2 linked regions of the Neodiprion lecontei genome follow. The protein of the gene in region 1 interacts with the protein of each later gene in a biochemical or structural test. Links are inferred from orthologs where the notes say so. Each region holds a gene or a part of one and is shown in the gene's direction. Other genes may lie near its edges.

Region 1 (8,205 bases):
ATGTAATAACTGCGTTATAATGAATCTATATTAATGATCCTAACGCATCGAACATATTTTCAAATACAGTGTGAATTGTATGTTAGTGCACAGTGTGTTGAGAATGAAAATTTATGCATCAAGAAATAAAAATAAAAAGAGGCTCTTGGTAAAACCTTATAAAGGCTAAGAGCTAGTACAGCTGAAAAATTTAAGTTCTTTTAAACCCGTCAACTTACTATACCAACTTCTTTATTAAATATTTATATTCCATACCTCAGTCATTGAAAGCTCGCGAATACAGACTAAAAGTTACCTAAGCATCATGAAAATAACACCGAAAGCTTTTTGTACTTCCCGAATTTTCCCCATTCACAACATAAGCTGTGCAGGCTTATCACCTGGTGCATCAGGGACTTTGCAGGCGTAATGCCCAGGCTGCTTGATTCGAATATTTAATCCATATTCATGCTTATATTCATTATTCAAACTCACTTGTCTAGCTTCAGACGATTCTGGATCTATAAATAGGTGTACATCTGCTTGGGTGTGCAAATGATTGTCTCTCTTTGGTTTTGACGGTTCGTCTTTACTCTGCATCATGAGTAACCAGTCCGTGTCTATCTGAATATTTGGTTCTTCGTCGGGAACTTGAGTTCTGATATTGTATATCTGGTCCCAGTCTTTATAGCGACAGTACTTATCCAGCTCTGGCATTCCAGGGTCTTGGAAAAATAAAACGTTCTTATGCACTGCTGGTACAGGAACTCTGTCCGCTGCGCATTTCTCACACAGAGTTGGGTCGGGCTGTGAAATAATGCAGGCAATAAAGCAAATTGTAGTTCGAGTGAGATTATAAAAGCATTACATTTTTGATGCACAAGTCAATTCTACTTACATGATAATCCAATCTGTGATCTGATTCTTCTTTTACACATATCGGCTTACAGTTTGAATCTACTGAGGAGGTTTGTTCGGAACTGTTTGATAACGAGGATGATAATTTACCGCTGTCTGAGAGACAAGTATCGTTTGATTGCGTTGTGGTTGAGGTCTCACGTTTTGTCGACAATTCACTTCCTTTACTGTCATCACTAAGACTTTGACTGGAGCAGAAATCCAGAACATGCCTAGGCCCACAAGGGCGGATCATCGGTGTTTCGAATGACATTTGTGATGGATCATGGGGAGAGAATTTATCTGTGCTACTTTGCAAGTCACATCGCATTGGTGAGTCTTTACTAATTTCCGATTCACCTCCGCAGAGTGAAGGTTTGTCCTGATATCCATTACCGCAGACATTTGTACTGTCACAAAGTGCGTTACTAAAAAACCAATACACAAATATTTTTGCATCTCCGTGGGGAACTCGAATATCGTAAATTAATCAGTTAGACTAGAGACCCTTGGAGATTAAATTCTTTAGTGGAATATCGACTAACTTATTCTTTGGACACGTCGAAATTTCAGTAGACGGTTTCTCTGCAGGTTCGTTCCCACAAACGTTCAATTTTTCTTGACAAATTGTCGTATAGGATGAATTGTCTTCACATAAACCTCCATCTTCCTTGATACATCGGTGCTGCTTCTTTGATTTACATTTTGTGGATTTCTTGCCATATTTATACCGATAATTACTGTTATCATTTTGTCCGCAACATGACAGCAAATCCACACTGACGTCGCTATCCTCTTCTTTGCTGTACAATGAATCTATGCAACATAGAATTTTACTGTGATGATTGCTTGGATTTTCTATCAAACATTAAGCATTATTTCTCAACCCTACAGCGTTCGCTTGCGTAAGTAATTTGATTATCTTACCTCCACAAATCTTGGGACAGCACGTATCAGAAGAATCTGATGGATTTATTCCGTTACTAGAATTGCACACAGAATCTGAATTATCGGAGCTCTTTTCTGTGTCTGATTTATTGTCGACAGTTGTTTCGGAAAAATGTTGACAGGTGCAAAATAGTTGCTGGTCTTGCGGTGCGAGAAACCAATTCATGACGTTTGTTTTGAAATGCTCCGGTGTCCAAATATCTTCGGTGTATAATCTTGGGCAGCAGGCTTGCCATGGTTTTGCAGGTTCTGCTTTTACTGAGGAGACTTGAAAGAAGTTTTTTTTTTGTTACTTTCACACAACCTTAGAAGCAGACAACGTAATTTTTACTGACCCTTGTCGGATGATTGTGCTAACTTTGTTTGAACAGATTCTATCATCTCTTCAAGAATGCGATACCAGGTTGACGGAAACACATATTTTCGACTGCATCTTTTTTCGATCATCTGTTTCCTCATCTCTTCTGCGTACATGGCTTTCAGAGATTCCATTAATCTGATACATTCTCTTTCACTCACACCAAGCAAGTTCAATCTCCTAGCTATTATACCGTACGCCTTCATCCTTCTCGATCGATCTTTGTAAAATGAATGCGTAGGGTCCCATAATATAGGATGAACTTTGTAGATGCTTAAAAACCTTAAAATGTTCACATCGGTCCACTTTTTGGCATCAGGGACAAAGCGCAGCCACCACTTTTGGTTCTTTTCAATCACATCTGATTGAGGTTTCGCTATTTTCATATCTTCACTGGTGGAAATTTTGAACTTTATTTTACCAAAACAATGCTATCGGATGATAATTATGAAGCCAAGAAACGTAGAGACGAAATATATTACAGAGTTCAGTGCCTACTCGGCATTGAAACCGTGATTGAAACTATCCTCTTTGACCGAAACAACCGAAATTCAGTGGGTTGCTACCGTTATACTAGCGTTTTATTTGCTCACGGGATCGGCACGAAACTCAAATATTGTTAAAACTCCCGCATGGGGAAGAATTGATTGCAAATTCATAATTCAATCGAATAATTAAGGTAACGTACATAGTATATACTTTGGCTAGTAACAGATCGGTATATAAATATTCATCTGTACAGGTCTGAGCTACCTGATTTGAATCGATGCTGCGTGAAATATTGGGTGCATTTTATTTGTCACGTTTTGAAAATGAAAGCTTTGGAAAAAGCAGCCGGTTGGCTGATATTCGAATATTGACCAATCAGGTGAGTCTTTCAACCATTTCATTTTCAAAAGATGGCGAATAGAATATGTCCTTTATCAGCCCCAACAGTCAAGTGCTGCACTCTGCGTCTGACTAGAATATATCTCGCACCTAATTTGGGTTCGAATGGTTCGAAATGATTTTTTGAAGGTTGTAAAATATACGTATTTGACGCAGAAAATACGCTTCATATGCAAACATGTACTCCTCCACATTTATCGCGATAACATTTGGTGTTACCGTAAAGCAAAATTCTACGTAGAACTGCTTCGATATTAAAGACTCTATAATGAGTTTTCTGTTCAATCTTCTGAAGGGTGCCTTTTTGAGAATGTTGCAGTTGATTTGGTTCGGAAAACGAAAGATATCGAACTCGTTGAGTATCTACGTGAAAACTAACACGGGAAATACGCTCTCCATTGATTTGGATCCGAAATGGGACATCAGAAACCTAAAAGAGATCGTCGGGCCTCAGCTTGGCATATCTCCCGAAGATATCAAGATCATATTTGCTGGTAAAGAGTTGCACAATTCCACGATAATAGAGGTATGTTAACAATCGTATAATCAGCAGTAAAGTGTCGTTTTATTACGGTACAAAATTTAGTTATTAACAATTGTGTTTTTCTACCTAACCTCAATTCTAATCTGAAATGTAAATATTTTTATCTGTTGTCTAGGAATGCGATCTTGGTCAGCAAAGTATTTTGCATGCCATAAAATTGCCACCCGGAAAAAATCGCCTTAATAGAAAAAAAGATACTAAAAATCTTATCGAAGAATCTATAGATGAAGGATCGGAAGCAAATGAAAGTGGAAGCAAACCTCTGAACGAAACTTTGATCGACTTACCATTGGAGGATTCGGACCGTCATGAAAATCACAGCGAGCAGGGTATTCATACATTTAGTTTTCCCCATTGCAATGACTTTTGTAGGATTAAAGTCTTGACGATAGAATTCTCGAGTAGTAGATTTCTTGTTGAACGGAACAAAAAAATTGGTCAATATATGTTTACGTAATTACACTGCAGTGTTTTTAAGCTGTAATTATTATCACAATACTCTTTTGAATTTGGTGGTTGTGATGATTTTACAGAGCAGCAACAAGCCCGTGCCCATTTTTACGTTTACTGTTCGCTGCCATGTAAATCAGTGGAAGCAGGAAAGCTGAGAGTGAGATGCGCGACATGTGGTAGCGGGGCTGTGACTGTGGATCGAGACCCTCAGTGTTGGCCTGACGTGCAGCAGCCTCGTAGAATAACTGTACATTGTGAGAATCACGATTGTCAGACATTACTGTCTTCCTTAGCACAGAAGGATGAAGGTACTCCTCAAGTGAGATACGCGCAGTTTTATTTCAAGTGCGCCAATCACGTGAGTCTTGGAGAAAAAGATGAGGCGGTACCGCTTTATTTGATTAAACCAAATCTGAGAAATGTACCTTGTCTGGCTTGCACGGATACAAGGTAAAGCTTTGATTTGGCACATAAATAATTGGTGTAGAAGTAAACGTAAGAAGAATTAATACAAGCTTTGTTAATACTTTTCAGGGACACGGTACTGGTTTTCCCTTGCGAGGCTGGACATGTAACCTGCCTGGACTGCTTCCGGGACTATTGCGTGGCTCGTCTGCGGGATCGTCAGTTTGAGTTTGACGACAACCACGGATACTATACCTTGCCATGTCCGGCTGGTTGCCAAAATTCGCACATATCCGAAGTTCATCACTTCCGTCTTCTCTCACCTGAGCAGGTACAGCGGTACCTAAAATTATTGGCCTCTTCTACTTTCACCGTCACACTCATTCCATAAATATCATTGGATTACCAATGAATGAATGCAATTCAAATTACAGTATGAGCAGTACCAACGATTTGGAACTGAGGAATACGTTCTAAGGGCAGGAGGACTTCTGTGCCCGAGGCCTGATTGCGGAATGGGAATTATTCCACCTGATCAGACTGATGAGGAGCGTAGTCGATCCCCGGATGAGGACGACTGTCGTAGAATTCAATGTATTGGTGGTTGTGGGGTACGTGATAAAATTGTTGCCAGTACTCGAGGACATTTAGCTCTTACTCACTGCTGAAAAACCACTATAATTCAGTGTTTTCCCATAGTATGTTTTCTGTAGGCGATGCTTGCAAGGTTTCCACGTAGGTGAATGTGACTCACAACAGCCTACGACGTATTCTTCTACCTCCGCCGTCTCCTGTCTTTCAGGCTATGCAATTGATCCTCTGCGAGCTAGCGAGGTAAGTAACACTATTTTTATTTACTTATTTGAATCGATAAACAATCACACAGATAACCTAATTTTAATTCCAGGCCAAGTGGGACGAAGCGAGTAAGAAGACCATTCAAATATCGACGAAACCATGTCCGAAATGTAGAACACCGACTGAACGAGATGGTAAGCTTATTCACGTATATTTTTCAGTCTTACCTTATTAAGAGTTTTTAACTCGCTTGCCCGTTATATTTGCCATAATTTGGATATGGAAATGATAATGAACTATTGAGATTGGGGAACAATAATGATTGGCAGGTGGCTGTATGCACATGGTTTGTACAAGAGCTGGCTGTAGTTTCCAGTGGTGCTGGGTTTGTCAGACGGAATGGACGAGAGACTGTATGGGAAGTCATTGGTTCGGATGATGTTCTGAAACTATTTATATCAGCAATTGTTTATGCTGTGATGGGATCAGGTTAATGCAACTTCGAAAGCCAGGTAAAATTGTGATAGGTATTTACCTACGTAGTGAAATAAATTGTTGTTCTTTTCAATTTTTTATTTTTATCATCAGAATACACCCTTTATGCCTCTATACCTGAAACCTCTCAATCGCCTACAGGCTGTACAATATTTACATGGTAATAAAAAATAAGAGCACTGAACACTCACGGTTTTATTATCATTATAGTAAATTTGTGTAAGTCGATGTTGAAAAATTTTCTAGGTATATCGGAAAGTGATAGGCGGCAAATTAACAATTCGCGTCTCTAGGATATGGATATTACCGTTACTACTTAAGCTTTAGGCAAACATACACTGTGTGTATCTGAGTATTTAATTATACAGTATAAGGACTTTACCGCGATAATAGCTTATATTATTATGGTAGTTCCTCCCAAAATGAGTTTTCTTACAATCGTTCTAAGAAAAAAGTACACACTTTCATAACAGTATTTTACATCAGCTATCAAAATTGAGTGAGCTTGACCGTATCAATCTCGAGATATTAATTGTCAAAGTTTCAATTATCTACACCTGACTTCCTATCTCTGAGAATCTTAATGAAAAATGAGTATGTTAAAGCATCGGACAAAAACTTCCCTCGCTGATTGTAATATATATTTCACTGTACCGTTTCAGAGTAATTTTAATCCAAAGTTGAGGATTTTACGGTACGTACGACGCGAGCCAACGAGAGTGAGAGAGACCGCCAACAAAGCTTGTGTACTTGAGGGGCGCATGTCTGTGTGTACGAAAATGGCAGGAACTACCTTAATGCTGTCCTGGGAGACGATAATCTTCTGTAATCCTATGCTAATTACCTATAATTATCCTATTCGTAGCCGTATCTTATTTACAGGCGACAAGAATTCGCCAGACATTCTTTCAAATGGACGGATTTTGTTCCGACTTACGTAGGTATTACTACCGACTTCAACTACCGTAAAATTATTGTAATTTACGTGTGTGTGCCTCCTCAATTGCATTATAACAGTAACAATCATCTCTTTACTATCGTATACTGTCGTCTCGGTTTTATCGATAACAATTACGTTAACATTTATAATGTGCGTATTTGAAAAATTTGAGGTATAATATTACAGGAACAAGGGTGAAGTAAAACGTTTACGGTGTAGTCAAACATTAAAGTTGAGATTTGTTTGTGAGAGTGGGAGTGATAGAATTAAAAGTTTTTAGTCTTAGTTATATTTGACCGGAATCATACAGTAAACGCGCGCGTCTTCTACACAGTTTGAATATTTCACGTTAAAAATGGAAACTATCTTCTCCTGCAGCCTGCAGTGTTTTTTAAAATAAGCATCTACCTTCGAGCTCTATATTTGTCGCGCGAGCCTCGATGAACGATAAACAATAAACATGATTAGTTTAAAGATAAAGTACGGATTCCCATCATCATTGTTTACATTCTATTGTTTAGATTGATTACTTTCGGAAAATGGTGGAAAAAAAATCGTGGTTAAGGGTAAATCATTCGGTACAAGTACGAGCAAATTACTCTGCGTGAATATTTTTAAGAATGTACTGGCTATACATTCCCACCCAAAAGTGAGTCTCGACAGTACTGAATTCTTTATGATAAGATGAAAAGCGGAAAAAATCAACCACAATAAAAACGATATGAAAATTAAATTTGAATTATAATAATGTCCAAAAGTTTTAACAAATTTTTAGGAAATGAATTCGCTGATTTTTTCAAGTGCACATGAATTTCTAAATGATTTTCTCATTATTTTGAAATTTCCGTTTTCGAACATTCGTAAAGGCTATCTTTACGATACTATTCGTACAATGCACCGGAAACTTCTTAATTTTAATGTACAACGTTTTTACGAAAAGCGTATCTAAAATTCACGATTTTTCCTCCATCGTTCAAAATTTTAAATTTTCGCTAACGATAATTTCAAAATAATGCAAAAATTCTTTAAAAAATCATGCGCATTCAGAAAAATCAACAAATTCATTTCACATGACAAAAAAACATTCCCCGAAAATTTGTTAAACAATGTTTTACTTAGACAATTTATCGATAACTTTTTGGCATTATTATTATTCAAATTTAATTTTCTTATCGTTATTGTAGTGGTTGATTTTTTCCGATTTTTATTTTATCATAAAGTATTCAATATTGTCGACGAGACTAACTTTTAGTTGAGAATGTATAGCCAATACATCCTTAACTGATCGTGAGAAACGTGTTTGTCAATTCGTTGAAAATAACGTGTCCACGATACCTGTAGATTTCACAGGTGGCGTGAAATCAAAATGGCCGCCGTTGGTTCACCTGTGATTTTGTTTCGGCTGCACGATTTTATCCAGCGCAGAAATATTTTACTACCGCTATCCGACGCCAGGCAAAATACAGCAAGAATAATATGATCATACCTTTAGCATCGGCA
Region 2 (6,815 bases), on another chromosome or scaffold:
AACAGGCTCCAAAACCTTTTCGTTCAGATTTTTGGGCTTATCTTTGAAGGACTTCACCTCGTTTTTTAAAACACTTTCAGAAGTGTTTCTTAAGTCTTTTCCAGGCCTGGTAAGACCAGATTCTTGATCCTTGTTGGCTGCAACTTTAGCCGGTATATCAGTGACGATTACTTTGTCTTCGATAATCGTTTGGTCGACTGGACTCTTGCATGATGATCCTGTGGGACTCGACCTCTGGACAGGGCTGATAGATTTCTGTGTTCCTGACGACCCCCAAGCTCTGCCGGGAGAAGTTTTTCTCACCTCCCAAGCCAGCGGCACACGCCTTAGTGGAGGCTGAGTGCTCTCATAGGCCCATTTTACTTTGAACCATTCTATCAGATTGTGAAAATCACGGGTGTAATTTTCAAGGACTAGTATTACCTCCTTGCACTCAGATATACTCTCATCCTCTTCACATGTCTGGTATATTCCATCTACAGCCCGCTGAAGATTGCCAAAGAGAAAGGCCCAGTATCTGGCCTGAAGTTCTGAAAAGAATTTGTAGAATGATGGATACATAAAGACACAATTGGTCACAAATAAGACAAATTGATAAAATCACGAAAAAAGTGACCTATGTAGTGAAAATAAGTGAGAAGCAAATCAAATGTTCATAGCATTGCCTGCAAATTAGTAAAAATAAGTCGAATGTTGACAACCAGTAACCCCTGATAAAAAAAATATTCAAAATGGCTCGATAAGAAAATCAGTCTCTTTCTGATTTCTTTCCAATCTATTTTTAGACAGTCGACCAACCCACCAGATTTTTTATCTCTTCCTGTTGATGCTGATCTTACTCTGGTTGTCGGTTTTGAACACCTTTTGGTCGGTGTTGGCTGAGAGATTTTTGGAATGCTTGGTGGTTTGCGAAGGACCTTTTCAGTGTTATTTGACACAACTGGGACGTTGAATGCTATCAAATTGCGAGCTGAACGACCTTCTTCTTGAATAAGGAGTCTGACATCAGCCATTCCTACCGTATATTATTAATACTCACGTACGTGAGAGTTTTAAATGATTTTCAAGAAATGAATTAGGGAGAAAAGCTGCTATGGTGACGTCCAATGTGCTGGAAAAGAAAATTCAATATGATTCATTTTAACAGAGCCGAAACTTGGGTTGGGAGATTCAATAAATTTTTAGATTTCAACGACCTGAGTGAAGATCAAAGTGCCCAGGTAATTAATTTTTATTGGCTAAATCATTCGATCAATAATAGCAATTTTAGTGCTGTCAAAAGATGAGAATTGGGGGCTCGTCTTGAAATTTGCAAGTATATTTCGATCATTTTTACAGGTTAGGTAGGCGATCAGCGAAAACAATAGATACCTATATCAAGCTGAATCACCGATTGACGAATTCTTATCATTTGTTAAATTAATTCGGTCATGCTGGTAAACAAATGATAACAAAAGGCATCGCGATCTTGATTCTTTGATAAAATCGGTATTAACGGCTGATAATATTATTATAATTAACTGCGTGTGAACGAGGCAGACGTCCGTGATGAAGTTTCACGTAAATTTGTATGTAAACATTGCGATGTTGATAATACGATACATGTGTGCACATACATTTCATCCATAGAAAGGAGCAGATACATACCAGAAAGATAAATTCTGACGCTCCGTTTAATCGAAATAGATCGGTGATACGTTTTATTTATTTATAACGACGGGTTAACGAGACGCGAGGACACGCTTGAAACAATGACATGACGTCTCCGTGCTCCTGACGCATTTGACTTTTGAAACGATAATGATGACAGGTCTGTGCTCTTCTGTTAATCGTTGTCGACAGAGTCACGCTCCGTAGAACAGAAAGGGATTTAACTTACCTACCTGACGACATTGGCTTGACACGAGCGGCAAGCTTGATCGGTATTACTAATTCAAATTAATTGAAATTAGAGGAGTCGTATAAGAATAATAGTAAACAAACATTACAAATTTTACGTGTATTTTCAACGTTGACAACTCTCTCGTTGATGCACGTTACGTTGTATCTTGGCTATACCATAAGTCAACGTTCCAAGTCGACGCGCTCGCTTTCGAAGTCTAAGCTCATGGAGACGAGAGACCTTAGCCTAGATTTTCACGGGTAGCAATATACAATATTATTTCGCGACCGAGTTTTCGACAAATAGGAATGTCAATAAAGCAGGGGCCTGATTCTGACTTATTTTGCACTTGTTAAAAGAAGATTTTCCGTTTAAAGCTGCCTTCTGACTGGTCTAGATAACGCTTCAGATCAGGTTACTCTACAATCCGTTTTGCGGCACTGTAGGGGTGCGCTCCGATAGCAGCCTGTGTGTCAACAATCCTTCATCTCTTTTGCGCTGCCAATTTTGGGTATAGCGCTGCCTCTGTACTAGAGAGTTTTTGGCGCTGCCAGATAATTTCGGAACGCATTCTAGGTAGCGCTTCTGCGACAGCATTCTGCTGTCCATGAAAATCCAGACACGCTGAAGTTCCGGACCGGCCGCATGTGTTGGGATGCCCTTGATTTGTGGCGTCAAGGGTAAATTTTTATTTTACGATCCAATTCATAAAAAAGTTGCACAAGTGAATGTAATAGCTCATAATATGCTGGTCAATTTTTGTCGATGATTAAGGTTAACCTGACTATCGCATTTGCCTAAAGCAAGCGAATGAAATTACAATCCGTGACGAAATTGGCGAGACTGAATAATATCATCCACCATTCCCGTTCCGCTCCACTGTCGCCACCTGCGTATGAGGAAGTTAACTATCGAAATTGCAAGAAACACAGAACCTAGCTGTGGATACACACACTTGATCGTGTTAAAAAATTAAATTAGTTTTCTTTTCATAATAGAAATCAAAGCCTAGGTACTAGTAGATTATCTAAAATTCTAATTTCACTATCCGGCTCGTGTTAACCTAATTTGTACTTAACCAAAAGGTGAAGAGCCTCGCTAGATATCGGCGAACGAGAATAGAAAATATAATACACGATTAAACCGCTAACTGGAAGTAGTACACCACCACCGAGGATCTTGCGAGAGCTGGCAGGCGATCACGAATACCCCCAGTAACAGTGACGGAGTACGCATACTGCCAGACCTTCGGGGTGACGCGGGCACATTTTTTTAAACCAAAATGTACGTACATTGTTACAGTTACTGTTCCGCAATGCAAACACCCATCGCTTGCCACAGCACGATCAACGGCTTCGATCTAATGTCGAAATTACTCGCCGCCCAATGATATACGCCTTTGTTTACTCGAATATAAGTGCCGTCATCCCGCTTTCGCGAGAGATTGCCGTACTTTTTTCCTTCCATTTTTACTCCTATTATGTCTCGTTTGATTTTTTGATCAGAGAATGAAAAGTTGATAACACAAATTCGTGATAACTATTTGTATATGTACGTATCATTGCTGTAGACTTTTGGCTTGACATATATGTACTTTGCATTTTGCTTTTGCTGTAAGGTTATTGACTGCCTGTTTATTCTTCGCTCCTTAGTTCGCTGACTTTGTCTGACACTGATTTCATATTGTCGTCGATCGTTTTTCTTACAGATTAATAATGGCGGACCTACCACGCCGTATAATAAAAGAGACGCAGAGATTGATGCAGGAGCCGGTCCCTGGCATCAGCGCTGTACCAGACGATGCAAACGCTAGATACTTTCACGTCATTGTAACAGGTCCCGAAGACTCACCGTTCGAAGGCGGACTGTTTAAACTAGAATTATTTTTACCAGAGGATTACCCTATGTCAGCCCCTAAAGTTAGATTTATTACTAAAATATATCATCCCAATATAGACAGGTATGCTACATCTACTATTATAATGTATTCTACAATGTAAACTGTTGAAAAAGCTGAACTGATAACTAAAACATTTGATTGTATTTGGTTTCATGTTACCAGATTGGGCAGAATCTGCCTGGATATATTGAAGGACAAATGGAGTCCTGCTCTTCAGATAAGGACAGTACTGCTATCAATACAGGCTCTCTTGAGTGCACCAAACCCTGATGATCCATTAGCAAACGATGTCGCCGAATTGTGGAAGATTAACGAAGGTGAAGCGATACGCAATGCCAAAGAATGGACCCGTAGATACGCCATGGACAACTGATCTCAGCCTGGTCCGTTATCGGAGCCTTCCTCTCGCACGCATGGCGCATGGCAAAAACACCAATGCCTCATCGTCCCCATCTTACGATCCTTGTTCCCGTTACCACCTTGTTCCTCCTAGACCTCGAACAAATTGCACCACCACCCTGTCACCTTCCTCCACCAGACTAACATACTATCTCAGTCCCCTGCTGTTGCCACTGATGCTGTTGTCGCTGCCGCTACTGCTGCTGCTGCTGCTACTGCTGCACCTCTGTCGAAAATTTTGCTATTTGAAAGAATAAAAGGTTTTTTCTAATAAAATTATACGTATTATAATTAAAATGACAGACTGCATTTTCTATTTTCGATATTATTCACACAGTTTCGACGTTTAAATTTATTTCCATTTTATTACCGTTTGTTTAATTTTTTTACTCTCTTGATTATGTATCCAAATTGAATAACGGCGGTGAAAATCAGAGCAATAGAGTTGCAAATTCACACAAATACTCGAAAAAAGACATCGGTTCTTTACGCTTTTTTTTATCTGAAAGAAAAATGTTTTTATCTCGACGATTCACAGAGTCGTTATTTTGAACTACGCTTCTAGTGACGTGTGAGAAGGTAGAATCCATAGATCGACTCTTCATATATGTGATACGAGTTTTTAGGAGAATGGCAGAGCTGCTGTATATTAACTGACTGGTTGAGCTCTCACAGATGTGGAATATAATAATACTCACTACGTGATTTTACCATATAACAACATAGAGATAATCGTCAGTTGGAATTTTTACTAGTATTTGGTACTGGCTAGCATTTTCATAGACTACTACTACTACTACTACTACTACTTCTACTACTACTACTACTACTACTACTACTACTACTACTACTACTACTACTACTACTACTACTACTACTACTACTACTACTACTACTACTACTACTACTACTACTACTACTACTACTACTACTACTACTACTACTACTACTACTACTACTACTACTACTACTACTACTACCATTACTACTAAATTGTTGGGATTTATGCAATTATTAGGGGTTTTTTATATATGTGTACGAATATTTATAAAGTACAACGAATGATAGTATCAATTGTATATACATACATAGTTCCCTATGGGGAAGAATTGTACGTATTTGTGACTGTTGCTGCCTTCTAGAAGTTAGCCACCACAGTTACGTGTAAAAATTATCAACTGCAGGATTTATTTATTGAAATAACATCTACTAGAAGCAAATTATTTTTATTTGATGTTTGGATAGATTTGAAGCATGTATCTTAAAATGAAAACAAAGAATATTACCAACTCAAGTGCAGAGACGTGTAATCTGAATAATCTGGTCATGCGATTAACCTGTGTTGTAAAGAATATCGAACTGAAATAAAACAGATTATAAATTACTAGCCGATAGTATGGTATACAGTAGCGAAGCCGTGATTATAGTATGTTATACATACATATATAGAGAGAAAGAGAGAATGATAGAGAGAGAAAGAGAAAGATAAGGATCATCGATCATTATTTAAGGAACTGCAAACGAAGATGTACTATATTTATGAACAATAAAATGATGATATGAACTGAATTATTTGGTTAAAGTATACTATACGTGAAAGTCGACGGACCTAGTAATGAAGTATACAATATTCCTTAATCTACATCCATATATTTGTGTATAATGATAATAATTATTACTTATGTGTGTATACGTATAATTTTCTTGAAGATGACAAGAAAATGAAATACTTCGTTTCTTAAACCGGAAGAAAAAGGAATCATTTGACTGGAAAATAAAGTGATGGCGGTAAGCTTATAAGCCGCCGGTGTGATGTTAACTCCGAGTGAGTGATTTCTTTGTACATATGAAGATATACACACACAGAGACTTCGGAATACGGATAAACAGACTTATATGCACACACGCTGTGTTACATTGTAATAATGATTATTGTAACTATTATGTATTAATAAACTAGGTTGTTTAAACAAAAATATTGTCTCATTGGATCAAACTCTCCTAAATTTCCGAGTTTTCTCAGGGAGAAATTTTTATTACCCACGATCAACTGGATTATTCAGATCAGGAAGATTTTTTTATCAAAAGGGGGTAGTTAAAGGGTTGATTTTGAATTGTGAGAAGGTGGTAGGGACAATGCCGTTGTAAAAAGAAATTCAATGAAATCCCAATTAAATTATAGGCAGTAAAATTCACGCATTACAAAGGAAAATCTTGATAAATGAACGTAATCCCAAGTCAAGCTTCACGAGGAAAATCCGTCTGTTGTACGAGAGATTTAATGAAACCTTTTTTCGCAACGCGTTTGGATGATCATTACGATCTTCATCCCTATAAAATATTTGAAATAATAAAGACCCTGCAATAGATTGTATGCAAATTTTAAAGTACGAATGGTCCATCGATTGTTAGAAAAAAAATGTTTGCAACAACGAAGCTAGCATAGATAAAATATGTACAAAGGAATGGATAGAATTTTGAATTTGAATTCAAAATTACAGTTTATTGTTATCTTTGTATGGACTAGTATAGTATAACCATATACACATTCAATAGCTCACTTATTTAATAGTTTTAATTTATATAATACACTCACAAACATTGATAGAGAGTCATGATATTCTTTGTAGTGCA

What was found. The genes of interacting proteins can lie anywhere in the genome.
Region 2: the proteins of E3 ubiquitin-protein ligase parkin (region 1) and ubiquitin-conjugating enzyme E2 N form a complex in vitro, tested with the Homo sapiens proteins (6 studies listed by BioGRID). The link is inferred for Neodiprion lecontei from reciprocal best matches to the Homo sapiens genes PRKN and UBE2N.

Annotation. Positions count from the first base shown.
Region 1 is NC_060260.1:36,825,224-36,833,428, reverse strand, and holds E3 ubiquitin-protein ligase parkin, read left to right. Parts: upstream 1-3,129; 5' UTR 3,130-3,338; coding exon 3,339-3,596; intron 3,597-3,729; coding exon 3,730-3,943; intron 3,944-4,147; coding exon 4,148-4,517; intron 4,518-4,601; coding exon 4,602-4,803; intron 4,804-4,906; coding exon 4,907-5,083; intron 5,084-5,171; coding exon 5,172-5,306; intron 5,307-5,379; coding exon 5,380-5,464; intron 5,465-5,599; coding exon 5,600-5,709; 3' UTR 5,710-5,838; downstream 5,839-8,205. UniProt on the Homo sapiens protein: Functions within a multiprotein E3 ubiquitin ligase complex, catalyzing the covalent attachment of ubiquitin moieties onto substrate proteins. Substrates include SYT11 and VDAC1.
Region 2 is NC_060264.1:30,169,253-30,176,067, reverse strand, and holds ubiquitin-conjugating enzyme E2 N, read left to right. Parts: upstream 1-2,514; 5' UTR 2,515-2,527; coding exon 2,528-2,562; intron 2,563-2,634; exon of another isoform or gene 2,635-3,166; intron 3,167-3,206; exon of another isoform or gene 3,207-3,433; intron 3,434-3,590; coding exon 3,591-3,842; intron 3,843-3,944; coding exon 3,945-4,155; 3' UTR 4,156-4,457; downstream 4,458-6,815. Other genes in the region: S phase cyclin A-associated protein in the endoplasmic reticulum, read right to left, coding at 1-530, 803-1,013. UniProt on the Homo sapiens protein: The UBE2V1-UBE2N and UBE2V2-UBE2N heterodimers catalyze the synthesis of non-canonical 'Lys-63'-linked polyubiquitin chains. This type of polyubiquitination does not lead to protein degradation by the proteasome.